2 linked regions of the Astyanax mexicanus genome follow. The protein of the gene in region 1 purifies or fractionates together with the protein of each later gene. This does not show direct contact. Links are inferred from orthologs where the notes say so. Each region holds a gene or a part of one and is shown in the gene's direction. Other genes may lie near its edges.

What was found. The genes of interacting proteins can lie anywhere in the genome.
Region 2: the proteins of rad18 (region 1) and slf1 purify together in Homo sapiens (affinity purification with mass spectrometry; 4 studies listed by BioGRID and IntAct, with this or other methods). This does not show direct contact. The link is inferred for Astyanax mexicanus from reciprocal best matches to the Homo sapiens genes RAD18 and SLF1.

Annotation. Positions count from the first base shown.
Region 1 is NC_064412.1:15,609,111-15,616,293, reverse strand, and holds the start of rad18 (E3 ubiquitin-protein ligase RAD18), read left to right. Parts: upstream 1-4,114; 5' UTR 4,115-4,244; coding exon 4,245-4,295; intron 4,296-6,525; coding exon 6,526-6,604; intron 6,605-6,847; coding exon 6,848-6,909; intron 6,910-7,183. UniProt on the Homo sapiens protein: E3 ubiquitin-protein ligase involved in postreplication repair of UV-damaged DNA. Postreplication repair functions in gap-filling of a daughter strand on replication of damaged DNA.
Region 2 is NC_064429.1:25,828,645-25,836,676, reverse strand, and holds the start of slf1 (SMC5-SMC6 complex localization factor protein 1), read left to right. Parts: upstream 1-5,011; 5' UTR 5,012-5,075; exon of another isoform or gene 5,076-5,339; intron 5,340-5,416; exon of another isoform or gene 5,417-5,831; intron 5,832-6,928; 5' UTR 6,929-6,929; coding exon 6,930-7,040; intron 7,041-7,365; exon of another isoform or gene 7,366-7,440; intron 7,441-8,032. UniProt on the Homo sapiens protein: Plays a role in the DNA damage response (DDR) pathway by regulating postreplication repair of UV-damaged DNA and genomic stability maintenance.

The DNA of each region.
Region 1 (7,183 bases):
CTTGTCCGTATTAAAATGCATCCTGCCTTGTTCAGTGGCTAAAGGCTATTAAAATAAACACTCGACTGGAGGTCTGTTCCACTGACTGATTATATGTACACAGAGTGATCTGTAGTCAGGTCCACTCATTCAAATGCACAGCTGTCAGCTGACTGCAGTCTCACCGGGAAAACAAAATGAACAGAACTGATTTCTTTATGTGATATTTAGCCCGAATCTCACCTCCTGTAAATGTGCACAGAAGCACAGATATATAAATATATATTTGTTTCTTAGATCAGCACATGCACGGAGCAGAGTATGTTCGTTCAAAGGCAGGCAGGGATTTTTAAATCAATTTCACGGATGTTTAAGAAAGAACGCCGCGCGTTCTGCCTTGTTGGCGGTGTGGGAATTGGGGAATGTGAGACTGAATCGTATTCACTGAGCTGTGTTTTAATCACCGAAGCTGTTTAGCCCACATAATCCTTCCAATAGCAGAGACAGTCTTTTTAACTGCTTAAATAACCATATCAATGCAGGACTACTGAAAAAAAAGATCATTATGAGAGACTTATAGAGTTGTGAATGGAAAATTCTATTTCCACATTCATAATGAATACAGCAACTGTCCCATTCATCCCGCAAGTAAAAGAGCAAAACAAAAATTGAGCCACTGCTTGCTGGGGTCCATGCAGCAAATATGGTACATAAACACTTAAAAGTTCACTTTTAAAGTACACTTTATTTCAGGTGAGGCAATGGTTCAATATAGAAGCTAAAATGGTTCTTTAGCTGGTTAAATGGTTCTTCATAAATATGATGAAAACCTTTAGTAGATTAATTATAAATAATATCCTATACACTTTCTATTAAATAGACCACAGAATACACTTAAGATTTTTTTTTATTTGATTTAGTAAAGGTAAGCGATGCTCAGATATGATTTTACAAACCTTTTTACAACCCCATTATTGTGTCTTAGAATGAAACAGTGATTTGCTTTGTGTATTGTTTCCTATTGTTAATGGTGGAATGAAGGGGGGTTTAAAAAAATCACATTCTGAATCTGAACATTTAAGAGTCATTTGAGATCACTGGTTCATTAGTGTAAATTCACAGTAGCATCTTAAATAATCTTAAATAATTTTGGAATTAAAAGGATTCTGTGATGTTCATATAAAATTCATATAAAAAAATAATAATAGGCCATCGAAATCTGAGGCTGGACATCTGAGGCAGTGCCAAATATGGGCATTAGCAGCATGGCACTGGCTACAAAATAATGATACAACTTCAGTGGTCTATGGGTATATAAACACAAAACTAGTTTTTGATTATTCTTATTGCCTGTTTAACATTACTCCAATAGATTACAGCAACCATGTAACATTGCATTACCTAGCATAGCATAGCATACTGTACACAGTCTTCCATTCTAGGGCACCTTTAAACACCAAAACAGCTCCACTAGTGTCACAACTGAAAAAAAAGACCCTTTCAGTACAATACAGATACTCTTTTGCTTGGGAAAATAGGACTACCAAGAAACTGGATGTCTCCACTTGTTCAGAACAAAACAAATCGATGATCATGACAATAAAATTGCCTTCTTTCTGTATTACACTTCCTGTTTATTTAAACTGTATCTAAAAGCTCTGCTTCTCTTTGAGTGTGTTGACAAGTCTTTGCACGAGTTCCTGGTCTGTTATTATCTTGGTTGGCTCACCCTCCTCTCTTTTATCCATGCGTTACATGCAAAATCAGTATCTATTGTTTAACGGATCATTTCTCTTCAATGCCTCGGTTGATTTCTTCCACTCAAAGTCTGTCTAAAACCCCCTTTTTTCTCCAAACAATTTAAAGTCCAGCCCATTTAATTGGAATCACTATTCAAGCGATGTGTCCTGTGTGTTGCACAGTGTACAATGTATACTAATATTTACCAGCATAGAGAGTGTTACAGTGCTTTTAAAGAATAGCTATTATTAAAAGTTTGCCTGCAAGGTCTGTTTGTACAGACAGATATCTAGGCAATCTTAAGAAATCCCTCTGAATCAGTTCAATTCAAGCAGAAGTACAAGTATACAGCAGCCAAGGTCCAGTCTCTGATGTAATGAGTCAAGTAGAGGTTTATAGGCCACCCAAATAATTATTATATCATCATATTAATGCTAGAATAAGTTATAAAACAGTGCCATTATGCTTTAATAATGCTGCAGTTCAGACCTGAAGGCACACAACCTCAATGTCAAACTTTCTTTGGACAATCAAACCAACTTGTGTTGGTGTGAAGGGGACAAATAAACTCATTAACAAATATCACATTTTTACCAGTATAGTGAATGTTTGGTTTTCCATGCTAGTGGTGCAAATGACAGTATTTTAGTAGTTTTTAGAACAGCTGAGAGGATACACTCAAATTTCTGCATAAAAAAAAATAACATTTATTAACAAATAGTATTAAATACTTTGTTACCTAACTTGCATTGGAAATTTGGTTATCTACACTTTACTAGAGTAATTATTTTCATTTCAGACACCTTGATAAGTAAGTTATTATTTTATACATACATACATACATCAGTGGCGTGCAGTGAATATAGTGGGTACCCCTTCTGCAACCACTCCCCATACCCTCCACCCCGCCGCCGGCCGACCGACACATAGATAAATATTACAATAACTTCATATTCTCTCTCTTGGCTTAGCTATATTAACTTAATACATATCATCAGCCCACAAATACAGCTAGAATTGACAAAAGTGTACAACAGACCCAACAATAAATGCTTAATTTGCCTACAAGTACAACCGTTCAACAAAGATCACTCATTTGTATGTCTACAGTACGCCAGGGCAGCCAAAACATTAGGTACACACAAAAACTCACCAGTCTGGCCTATTATTGTGAATTAGTTTCACATTGAAGGGCAACCAAGGCTTTTTAATATGATGTGACACAATATCTGTCTCTTTGCAGCCGCAATTCCATGATAGTTCGCTAAGCCATTTTAAAAAGCTTTGATTGGTTAGAACAGCTGTCAGTCCTGTAGCAACTAAAAAAAAACAGACTAATTATTTGAATTAGTTGCTGCTTTTTTATTTTAGTTAATTTATAAAATAAATTCTTACACTTACAATAGCTAAGATATATATTTCCTGATTAAAAATGATGTAAAACAGATTATAAGCACAACTACAACATACCTGCACATACACACAGACAATCCCTTTGGTGATTATTATGCTTAGGAAACTGCATATGCTTCTCTAAGAGTAAAAAACACAAGAAAACATGGGACATTATTGATACATTTTCAGGCTCACACTACAACCTGAAGATTACAATTGGCGCCAAAACTGCTGCAGCCCAACGCTGGAAACCGAACCGGGCCAGAAATAATTCTATACGCACCAATATCCGCTAAAAATACACAGAGGGGTGACTAAAACTGATATGAAAACAATTATTTCAATTAGCTTGTCAAAAAAGTACATTAATCCTTTTACAACGCTGCTTATTCAGGAAGCTTCACTGCTCTGCTTACCTCCCGCATTTTACGCACCTATACACCACTGGAGCTACGAGTGCTGCAGAGGGACAAATACAAAAGTAAGTGCGGTTGCATTGTTGCATTAAACATACAAAACTACGAAATACATTTTTAAAGCCCATTTATGAACCTTCAACACAACAGTTCTATTTGTTTTGTCCGATTTTAAGCTATTTTTAACTGTAAGAATTTATTACGCAAAGAATATTATTTTATATAATGATTGTCACGTTTCTGTAGTCTTTTTAAATCCTACTAAAATAATACAAAAAAAAAGAAAAAAAAAAGTGGTGGGATTCAAATCAAATTGAAAAGCTTCAAAGTACAAATCAATCACTGCTAGGCTGTATATGTTTATATATGTATGCTTTATGCATTTATTGTCTAGCTAAAATTCCTTTACACTAGAGCCAGTGCAGCAGAATTGGCCCATATCAGACTCACTGCCCGAACCGACTCTAATGAATCAAAGTTGAACCCGACGTATGGTTAAATGAATCGGTTCGCTGAACTGAATCAATGCGAGAGCCGAGTTTGAATCTTCTGCCTCAAAGCATGAATGGAAGTGACGTCGGAGTAGGATGTGCCGGTAAAAGTGCGCGCGGGTTTTTTCTCTGGCCGTGCAGCTCAGCTGTTAGCAGCAGGACTGTGTTTACCTTCAGGAAAGAGCTCAGAAAAACCGACTGATTCATTTTCGCTCGGTTAATCATGTCTAACTCAAATGAGGCGGATTTACCGCCGAACCTGGCGTGCCTGAAAGTAAGTTCTGCTAATAAACGCTTTGATAAGTCACTTATTTTGGCTGTGAAGCCCGCATTAGGTTAGCTGGCTAACGTTAGCTAAGTTAAACTGACAGTGGGATTGTCAGTAAGTTTAGCTACATATAGTGCTGAATTCAGGCTGTGTGATCTGTGTGACCATAGCTGAATTAACTATAAAGACCAGTGGCCAGTGGGATTTATACTTTTGCCAGTATTGAAGACTAGTTAGCTAGCTAGTAAGCTGGGGGTTTATCTGGTTAGCTAGCTAGGTTAGTTGGGTCGGATCTTACGCTGCCCTTTGTTAGCTCCTGTGTGTATCGTTTGTTTATCGTAAGGTTAGCGTTACCTGTCACTTGCCTGATGCTCTGAAGAGACATTTGGCATTAACTTAGCTGCTAATTAGTTAGTTAGCTAGGTTAGCTAATTACGTAGGCTTACTGACACTGCGTCTCGCTAAAGACTCACTAAATCAAAAAACGTTTAAAAATCTACTCTTATTATTTGGCTTTTGAGTGTGATCACGAATAAGGTGGCTTTAGTATTCTGTTTGGATGTGTTGTATTTCCTCTATTAGCATAATGCAGAAAAATGATAAATCCTGCAATTTACATATGGGGTTACACACACGCATACATACACTCTCCCCTATACTCTACTTTTTTCACTAACCCACTATTACCTACGACACTAGTACGGTAACCTCCTTCACTTAACAACAAGGTTGATGTGGTCATTTATGTGTTTATGATCCAATCAGTAGGGGTGGGCGATATGGCTCTAAAATAATATCACAATATTTCATGGTATTTTCACAATATCGATACATTTGGCGATATGACAAAACACTGAATTAGAAAAATTATTTAGAATTTTATTTTTGCATGCAATATGATATGGCTAACTGAGAAAAAGAAAAAAGAATTTTATCAGATTTGTAACAGAAGTCAATGATGCAGAATGTCATGATACTAGTGATGCACTCCTAATATCTCCATATATCCAGGATTAAAGTAAGATAAATGATACTGAAAAGATATAATCTGTCTCTAGTAGATATATAATGGGAAATGAGAACAGTGTGAATTTTTCGTTTGCTAAAAACTACAAAAAAAGTAGTTCTCTGATGTGATAATTAGGGGTGGGTGATATGGCGCGATATTTCAGGGGATAATATCGTTCACGGTATTCAAAATTTTTGGCGCAATTATCACGCACGCTACGATATGGCACACCCCTACCAATCAGCAACAATTATTCCAACCCTGAAGGCCAGACCCCTAACAGGTTGCTGAGGCTATTTATGTTTAGATCAGCAACATTTAACCCAAACCTGAAGAACAGACACCAAACAGCTAGTTTGCTGTGGTCATTTTTGAGTTTATGATCCAATCAGCAACATTTAAACCAAACCTGAAGACAAGACACCGAACAACTAGCTTGATGTGGCTGTTTAGGCTTTGATTGGCAACGTTTTACTCAAATACGAAGATCTGACACGTAACAGCTAGGTTACTGTGGCTGTTTATGATTCGATCAGCAACATTTAATCCAAACCTGAAGATCAGACACCGAACTGCTAACTTAGGTTACTGTGGCTGTTTATGATCCGATCAGCAACATTTAATCCAAACCTGAAGATCAGACACCGAACAGCTAGATTGCTGTGGCCGTTTATGATCAGATCAGCAACATTTAACCCAAACCTGAAGACCGGACACCTAACCGTTAGTTTGCTGTTGCCGTTTACAATCAGATCAGCAACATTTAATCCAAACCTGAAGTCCAGACACCGAACAGCTAGGTTGCTGTGGCTGATTATTTGATCAGCAACATATGACACAAACATGAAATACCTAACCATCCCATCACAAATCACAAAAACACTCATCATCCACTATGCCACAAGCCCTTTATAGGGGTCATCAAGTAGGCACCTCTCTTTATCAGCATTGAGTTTTGGCATCCCAGACTCGCTCCACTCCAAGCTCGCTACAAATAGGACATAACGAGATTTTAAACACAACCTTTACTATTTTGTTTGGACGTGTTGTATTTCATTAGATTTTAATTTTTTATTTTTGGTTTAAATTGCTTTATTGTAAGGCACTATGTGGCTCTGTCTTATAAAAGTGCTTTATAAATAAATTATATTTACCTAGCTCAATGACTTACAGTGATTATATGTAAGCTACCTAGCGTTAACTCGTTTTCATTATTTGCTTTGACAGCCTATAGACACCCTTCTTCGATGTCCCATTTGCTTTGACTTCTTGAACATATCCATGATGTCGCAGTGTTCACATAACTGTAAGTATTTTTTGTTGTTTTTGGTAATATGTATGTTGTATTAAGAGAAGTAACAGTTAACTATGTTTGGAAAAAAAAAAAAACTTTTTATTACGGTACCTAATAAGCTCTTCAGCATTGTCACTGTCATGTGTGCTTTTGCATTCATTCGCCTCATATTATCTTATTGTCACAAAATATGTAGCTAATTAACATCAAAACACATGAGTAAATAATGGATGTTTGTGTTGGGTCTCTTTGCAGTTTGTTCGCTGTGTATACGGAAGTTTTTATCTTACAAATTATTGTGTCCAGTCTGCAACACAGTAAGTCTAACGTTTATTGTGCGTTTTACATCATTGGCTAATGCACGTGTTGTTTGGTAATACACTCATCACTAACTTTAAATATAATGGCAATATTGAACTGTAAGATTTTTTTTTTTAAGTGTGCACTAAAGCTCTACAGGAACACACATGGGATTTTTTTTTGTATACAGAAAGTGTTAAACACACCAGAATATGTTTTAAAATGTAGATTCTTCTAAGTACCACATTTAGCTTTGAGGACAGATTTGCTTACATGAGGGGGGGTCACCTG
Region 2 (8,032 bases), on another chromosome or scaffold:
CTTTACTATGCTGAGTGACTAAACTTAATTAAATCAATGAAGTAACCACTCAATCTACTCCAGATCCACAGTCCTACAGCTGAATTTCACGTGTGACGCAGGCCCAGCTCGTGGAGAGCAGCGGAGTACAGAACTCCTCCAGACTGTAATAGATGTCTGCTTATGTACAGTACTCGTCTGAATGACATCCATTCCAGCAGAGCCTCCCTGTTGATGAAACACATCCTCGAGCGCAACGCAGCGGCTCATGAGATGTGATGATTTGATTTCTCCTCCAACAAGATCCTTATCAGGAGCAGTACATCAAGCCCACCTGAACCGAGCCGCTGGATATCATCTCCTATAAGACGCCTCGACCCTTCTGTTATCTATCAATCTCTCTCTCCCTCCCTCCCTCTCTCTCCCTGCCAAGAATGAATGCTTTCAATTTCCAGTGGAGCCCAGCAGTAATAAATGCATATCTAAAACACAGAGCTCCATTCACAGAGAATCAGCCGCCAACACGCTGCTCATCTGTACTTTATACAAACAATCTATTTACACCCCCCACCAGTACAAGACCCTGCATGTTCAACACCTGCACCCAACACACAGAGAGAGAGAAAGAGAGAAAGAGAGAGAGAGAGAGAGAGAGAGAGGAAGAAACATCAAACAGAGAAACTGTGAGAAGGGGGAAAGAGACAGACAAACAGGTAGAAAGAGATATAAAGTAAGAGAGAGAAACATGAGGTGAAAATGAGAGGATTAAAGATATAAATATATATTTTTAAAAATTACAGGAAAAAGAAGAGAGAAAGGAGGAAAAAATTAAAGAAGGAAAGAATTTGTAAAGAGTGTGTAAAAAAAGTGGGGGAAAACAACAGACTGCTGAGGAGGAAGAGAAGACAGAACTTTGGAAGGAAAGAAAGGGAGCTTACGAGACAGAGAAAAAGGATGCGAGAAAGAGAAAAAAAGACAGGGAGCTACATAAATGAAAATAAAGAGAGCTAGAGAATGAGTTAGAGACAGAGAAACAAGAGGACAAAGAGAAAAGAGGGAGAAATAAAATGAGGAGACAGAAAAATGGTAAATAAGAAAAAAGCATGAAGTAAATAGAGAATGTCAAGAAGGGTGAGAGAGAAACAGAACAGGAAAGGAGGGAGAAAGAAAGAAAGAAAGAAAGAAAGAAAGAAGAAAGACATAGAAGGGGAGAAAGCAGTAGAGATAGAAGGAGAAAGAAAAGGAGAGAGAAAAGTAAGAGAAAAGTATGCAGAATTGTGCATATAAGATAGAACATAGACAGAGAGACAGCTTAAAAAAGAAACAGTGAGAAAAAGAGAGACAGACAGCAGACAGACAGAGTGTGTGAGAGAGAGAGAGAGAGAGAGATAGAGAGAGACCGCGAGCGAGAGATATACAGTATATCTGAGGGTGTCATCATGAGTCAAATGGAGTATAATGGAGAGTGTCAGTGTCAATTTGGCTTTGCTGCCACTGTTTCTCCTTCATGTGGGCTGATTTTAATAATCCCTGTCAAACTCCAAACAGCCTACGCTACCTCCCTGACACACACACACACACACACACACACACACAGATCTCAACATTAATTTAACCCGCACAATGAGAGAGAAGGGCTGTCCGGCTGGACAAATATTATTTCCCTCAGCTGACAGATTCTGCAGTTAAGCTCACGCTTTTATTATTTTCTAAACTCTATATGAGCATCCCAGAGTCTGTACAGAGAGGGAGAGAGGGAGAGATAGAGAGAGAGAGAGAGAGAGAGAGAGAGAGAGAGAGAGAGAGAGAGAGAAACACTTTGGGAAGCTTTTTACGGGGCTAGGACTAGGAACTCTACAGTGTAATTACACTGGGACTGAGTGAGTCATTGTGAGTGTGTGTGTGAGTGTGTGTGTGTGAGAGTGTGTACGAGTGTGTGTGTGAGTGCAGCCTGTGTTACAAAGGGATGTGCATCGTTGCCGGTGTGTGATCCACATGAGAGTTGTGGGAAAAGTGTCAGGTTCAGCCTGTCACCACACAGGGCCTAATTAGGCAGATGCTCGCTCCATCTTCTTTGTCTTGTTAGCTATTTTCAACTCAGATGTTGTGGAGTCTCCCAGTACTTCTGAGAGGTGCCACAGGAGAGAGAGAAAGACTGAGCTGAAGTTCAGTGTGTGTGTGTGTGTGTGTGTGTGTGTGTGTGTGTGTGTGTGTGAGAGAGAGAGAGAGAGAGAGAGAGAGAGAGAGACATGGGCCAGATGTATTCTCCCAGCACTTAAACTGAAACAAGCATGCTTCTACCCATCCACACACACACACACACACATTAGCCCACTTAGCCTGGAGAAGGTGTGAAATATTTAGCAGGCAGTGCCTCCTCCGGCGTTTTTAAAAACGCCACCGAAATCCTCACTTAAAACTAAATGCCCTAACAGAGCAAGTGTTCACTTTTAAGGAAACATGCTAAATTAAACACGACCATCATCTCATACTTTCCACCACTTCAGGAGTTATGAACTAATACTGCCTTCAGATCCACCTCAGAAGCTCGTATTAACAACTTCAGACCTTGTAATTTATATTCACGTGGATCTTGTGGAAAACAACATGAACACCCTTCGAAAATACACCCTTTTTCAGGTTACTTTTGTACATTTACAATTATTTAAAACATGAGCATGTGAAAGTACATTGGAAAGAACATTAAAAAATATTATGATCCAGTAGATATATCATTAGTATGTAAATATCTAACTTTGTGTGGATTTCAGTAAACCAATAAAAAGTGGCTCCAGTTGCTGATTAATTAGTAGTTATTACAGGAATGCACCCACATCAAACAGCAGAGCATACCATATCTAACCAGCACAGTAGTTAACATCAGTCTGATATCAAAAATCAGCCATTAATAATCGGAAAACAGTATTAGGGCTAACATATAGGCCAACACCTACTACAGATTTCGGTCAATATCTAAAGACCGGTGTGAACTATAACTATACCCACATATTCTATCAAACCACAGAACCTACTAATCTAACCAGAACAGTTTCATCCATCTGTTACCAAACATTCAGCTCGATAACCATTAGAGTCGCCAGTTATCCATTAGACGCTATGGCTAATCCGCCATTTTGGGCTTCATAATAATAGTCTCGTAGCAAATTATATTAAACCATACTAAGAACATCCAATATTTTATTTTATTTGGCTTTACTATCTAACATTTAGATCAAAATATGTTAAAATATTCTATTAATATTTGCATAGTCTTGAATCTTTTGAAAATATCCTCTGACCTGTGTGTCTATGTATGGCCTGTATACATTGTTTGTCATTTTAGGCAATGGGTCTTAATTGGTCTAACGTTGTAAGAGATTCAAAGTACTTACAGCATATGTTACTGACTGATGTTCATTACACAGAGCTTTTAAGTCTGCCACTTGAAAAATTAAATTGAATTGTATGTATAGTTCTAAGTCAGGGGTGTCCAAACTACAGCCCGCGGGCCATTTGCGGCCTGTTTCCTTTTTTGGAGCGGCCCGCGAGGTATTTTAGAAATAGAATGAAAGTTGGCCCGCTGTTAAGCAGGTTTTTATAATGTGAGATTCAAAGTTTGAACGCTAGGTGTCAGAAACGGGCCAAAGAGTCTAAAAGCGGAGAGGGTGCGCATTTCTAGCGCAGAAAAACGGGCCAAAGAGTCTAAAAGCGGAGAGAGTGCGCATTTCTAGCGTAGAAAAACTGGGCAAAAGAATCTAAAAACGGAGAGGGTGCGCATTTCTAGCGCAGAAAAACGGGCCAAAGAGTCTAAAAGCGGAGAGAGTGCGCATTTCTAGCGCAGAAAAACGGGCCAAAGAGTCTAAAAGCGGAGAGGGTGTGCATTTCTAGCGCAGAAAAACGGGCCAAAGAGTCTAAAAGCGGAGAGGGTGTGCATTTCTAGCGCAGAAAAACGGGCCAAAGAGTCTAAAAGTTGCCGTAATTAAGGAGTTTAATATTAAGAGACATCATGAAATGAAACATCAATTTGAAAAATCTTAGTTTACACAACACTGTCAAAGATAAAGATAGTAAGTCAAGTAAAATGGTGTGTAAATGAAATAATCAGGAAAAAAGTATTATTTAAAGTGGTATTTTTTATTATTTGTTTAATTACAGAGTGTGGCCCATGACTTCAAATATATTTCTCCTTCTGGACCTCAACAAAAAAAGTTTGGACACTCCTGTTCTTTCTCCAAAGTACTTTGATGATGAATGTGATGTATGTGTGTGTGTGTATATATATATATATATATATATATATATATATATATATATATATATATATACATATATATATATATATATATATATATATAAAATTTTGCAATATTTGCACTGATCATGTAAGTTTTTACTAACAAAAGTAACAGCTGTGTTTTTTGCCTTTGTAATAATACAAAAGAGAATATCAACAAGTTAACTGAGATTAAAAAAAAAACCTCTATAAACATTTTATAATACATTAACAGACCCACATTACACAGTTTTATTACTGTAGCTAGTTACCTTATTGTGTAGAACATGCAGTCAGTGGCACTCCAAATCCATGGAACCAGGGAATATAATCATTATCCTCATTGTTCTTATTGTTTAATATCACTAATAGATGTGTTTATTCCTAATACGTCCAGGTTACTGAGTAAGTTAGTTAGTTAGCTAAGAAGCTCGTGATGATAGTCTCTGACTGTGTTTAAAACCTTAAAAATATAATGAAAAAATAATCTCTATATTCTCTTCCAGTCATTTAATCAAACAGTGATTAAACCTAAAGAAGGGACTGGAGTCACATAGAAAGAAAAAATGCTTAGTATCCAATGAGGGGGATTAATTAACTAGTTAACGTTAACTATCTAGCTGCCAGCTGACTCACACACACCTGTAGATAACTAGATAATTAGCTAAATGTGTGGTGTTTGATTAGCTAGCTAGCTATGAAGGGAATTAAGCAGTTAACGGTAGCATGGTGTTGTCTAGCTAGCATACAGAGCAAAAACGAGGAAAACAGGCTTTAATCTGGTGCATGCTGAGATAACAGAAGTTTTTACACGACAAAAAAGGTAAAATCCCTTCCTAAAACCCCGGTTCAGAGTATATTTCTGCAAAACCCAGCACCTTATCAACCAAAGCGTCTCTAACAACCAGCGCGTGCAGCTCCGCTTCCAAACATCCTGTACACGGAGCGGAGCAAACCATTCACACATGAAGGCGGGGGAGACTTTTCGTGTTCCTACACGTTATTATCTGCGTTTACGTTGATTATTTCAACTGTATGTTTTTTTTATTTGATCTTTAATTTAGTTTAAACCACTTAAATGTTCATTAACTCACGTTTTAGGGTAGTTATTCATATTTTCGCTTCTTAAAGCTCACCCCCGTATTTCGCAGCAGCGCACACGGTAATACAGCCCAAACCCACACGTCAGTTGACATGGACGCAAAACAAGCACACTCTGAATGTGTTTTATAACCATATTTTTAATCTGGTTAGTTGTCTTCATGTGATACGTTGTGGAATATTATATGTAACTAGTAAAGCGTGTTGGACGGCGCACTGGCTGAAGATGGGACGGCTTATGGAAGTTTAATAGCGCTAGTTTCCCGAGAAGCTCTGCTTTTTTGGCAGGAGTTTTGGCGCGGCTTCGAAAATGGCTAACGCTACCGCTAACGCTGGGTTCACTTAGCTAATAGTGACACTAGTCAGTTAAAGTCAGTTAAAGCTAAGTTAGTCAGTATGGTTAGCTTAGCTTAGCTTAGCTAGTGATTTCAGCAGCTCTTATATTATAACGGCTATCGTATTTGCACAATAATACAAGGTAAGACCGCTGCAGCTGAATATTTAAATAAAATAAGCTGAAAAAGACACACACGTTAGCTAACTACCTACCTACCTAACCTAGCCAACTAGTTTAACTGTCTATATGTATAACTAACCTATGTCTCTGTCTCTCCCTCTACTTTTCTGTCTCTGTCTCTCTCTCTGACTGTCTGTCTCTATCTATCTCTGTGTCTCCCACACATAAGATTCAAAGTAGCTTTATTGTTATATAATTACAGCAATAACAGCGATACAACAGATATATTTAATGTGTCTTGTAACTGTCATGCAAAATGTTGGCCCTATTTGGCCCTGATTTCCCTCAATTGGACCTGCTCTCTCTCACAATTGGCCCTGCTTTTTTCTCTCTCTCTCTCTCTCTCTTAATTGGCACTGCTTTCTCTCTCTCTCAACTGGCCCTGCTCGCTCTCTCTCAACTGGCCCTGCTCGCTCTCTCTCAACTGGCCCTGCTCGCTCTCTCTCAACTGGCCCTGCTCGCTCTCTCTCAACTGGCCCTGCTCGCGCTCTCTCAACTGGCCCTGCTCGCGCTCTCTCAACTGGCCCTGCTCGCGCTCTCTCAACTGGCCCTGCTCGCTCTCTCAATTGGTCCTACTTTCTCTCTTTCTTAATTGGTCCTACTTTCTCTCTTTCTTAATTGTCCATACTTTCTCTCTCAATTGTCCCTGTTTTCTCTTTCTTAATTGGTCCTGCTCTCTCTCTCTCTCTCTCTCTCTCTCTCTCTCTCTCATTTGGCCCTGCGTTCTCTGTCTCTCATTTGGCCCTGCTCGCTCTCTGTCTCTCATTTGGCCCTGCTTTCTCTCTCTCTCAATTGGCCCTTCTCTCTCTCTCTCTCTCTCTCTCTCTCTCTCTCTCTCATTTGGCCCTGCTTTCTCTCTCTCTCAATTGGCCCTTCTCTCTCTCTCTCTCTCTCTCTCTCTCTCTCAATTGGCCCTGCTTTCTCTCTCTCTCAATTGGCCCTTTCAGTTTGGGTAGAAAATGATGTAAATTAGGAATGCATTTTAAATGAGAAAAAAGATGATTGGCTGACGGCAGCAATGTGAATATTGCTGTCACCTACTCTGCCTGTCTCTCCAGCATGTTGGGGAATAAGTATGTGTTTCAAATGTCTGGAATCAAGAACCTCCAGAAGAAACGAGAGCTCCTTCAAGGAATCAAGTGTCTACATGGGAGTTATATAGGAGGTTCTGTGAGTATCCGTTTTACTAGAAATACACACTTCTGCTGCACATAGTCTGCATGGCCTAGCATGACCAGATGATTGACCAGCACCACTATTGTGCTGGTCATTAGCTATAGAATTTGATGTTCTAAAAGACAGTGGGAACCAGCATGTATTAGGTAGATCAGCCAGCACGAAACCAGCATTTGTTGTGTTTTTAGTACTCATAAGCTAATAAAACAGCAATTAACCAGCATTAGTCCAGGATAAACGAGCATTTGTTTTGTGTTGTACATGGGCACACAGGTAAACCAGCATAAACCATCAATTTTTGTGTTTTGAGTACCTGTAGGTGGTAAAACGGCAATGAACCAGCAGTAGTCCAGCATAAACCAGCATTTGCTGTGTTTTGTACCTGGGTACACAGGTAAAGAAGCACTAAAGCATAACTACACCAGCATAAACAAGCATTTGTTGTGTCTTAAGCACAGAGATGTTTGTTCAGCTGCAGTGAACCAGCATTAGTCCAGAATAAACAGTAATTCTTGTGGTTCAAAAATGTGTTTGATGGTAAATATGGGAATGTTGGTAGAGAAGCACTACACTATAACTAACCCAGTAAAAATTAGCATTTTTTTTGTATTTTTAGTACAATTGAACTAGTAAAACAGCACTTAACTAGCACTAGTCCCTCAAAAAACAGCATTCATTGTGTTTTGTATGTGTATGATGATGATAAAAATAGTCCAACATAAACTATTAATTGTTATGCTGCAGAACCATTTCAGCATAGACCAGCAATTGCTGTGTTCTAAGCACTTTTATAATGGGCACTAGCAATTTTAAGTGTCTGATGATGCATGTTTTAAACATGCATAAACATCCATACACTAGTTTTGGCCAGCATTTATGTTTATGTTCAGGCTAATCTACACTGTGTTGTTCAGCAGTTGAGACACCATTTGTAGTGTTGGTGAAAATGACCCCAGGCCTCATGTTTGAAAGCCATATGTTCTTTT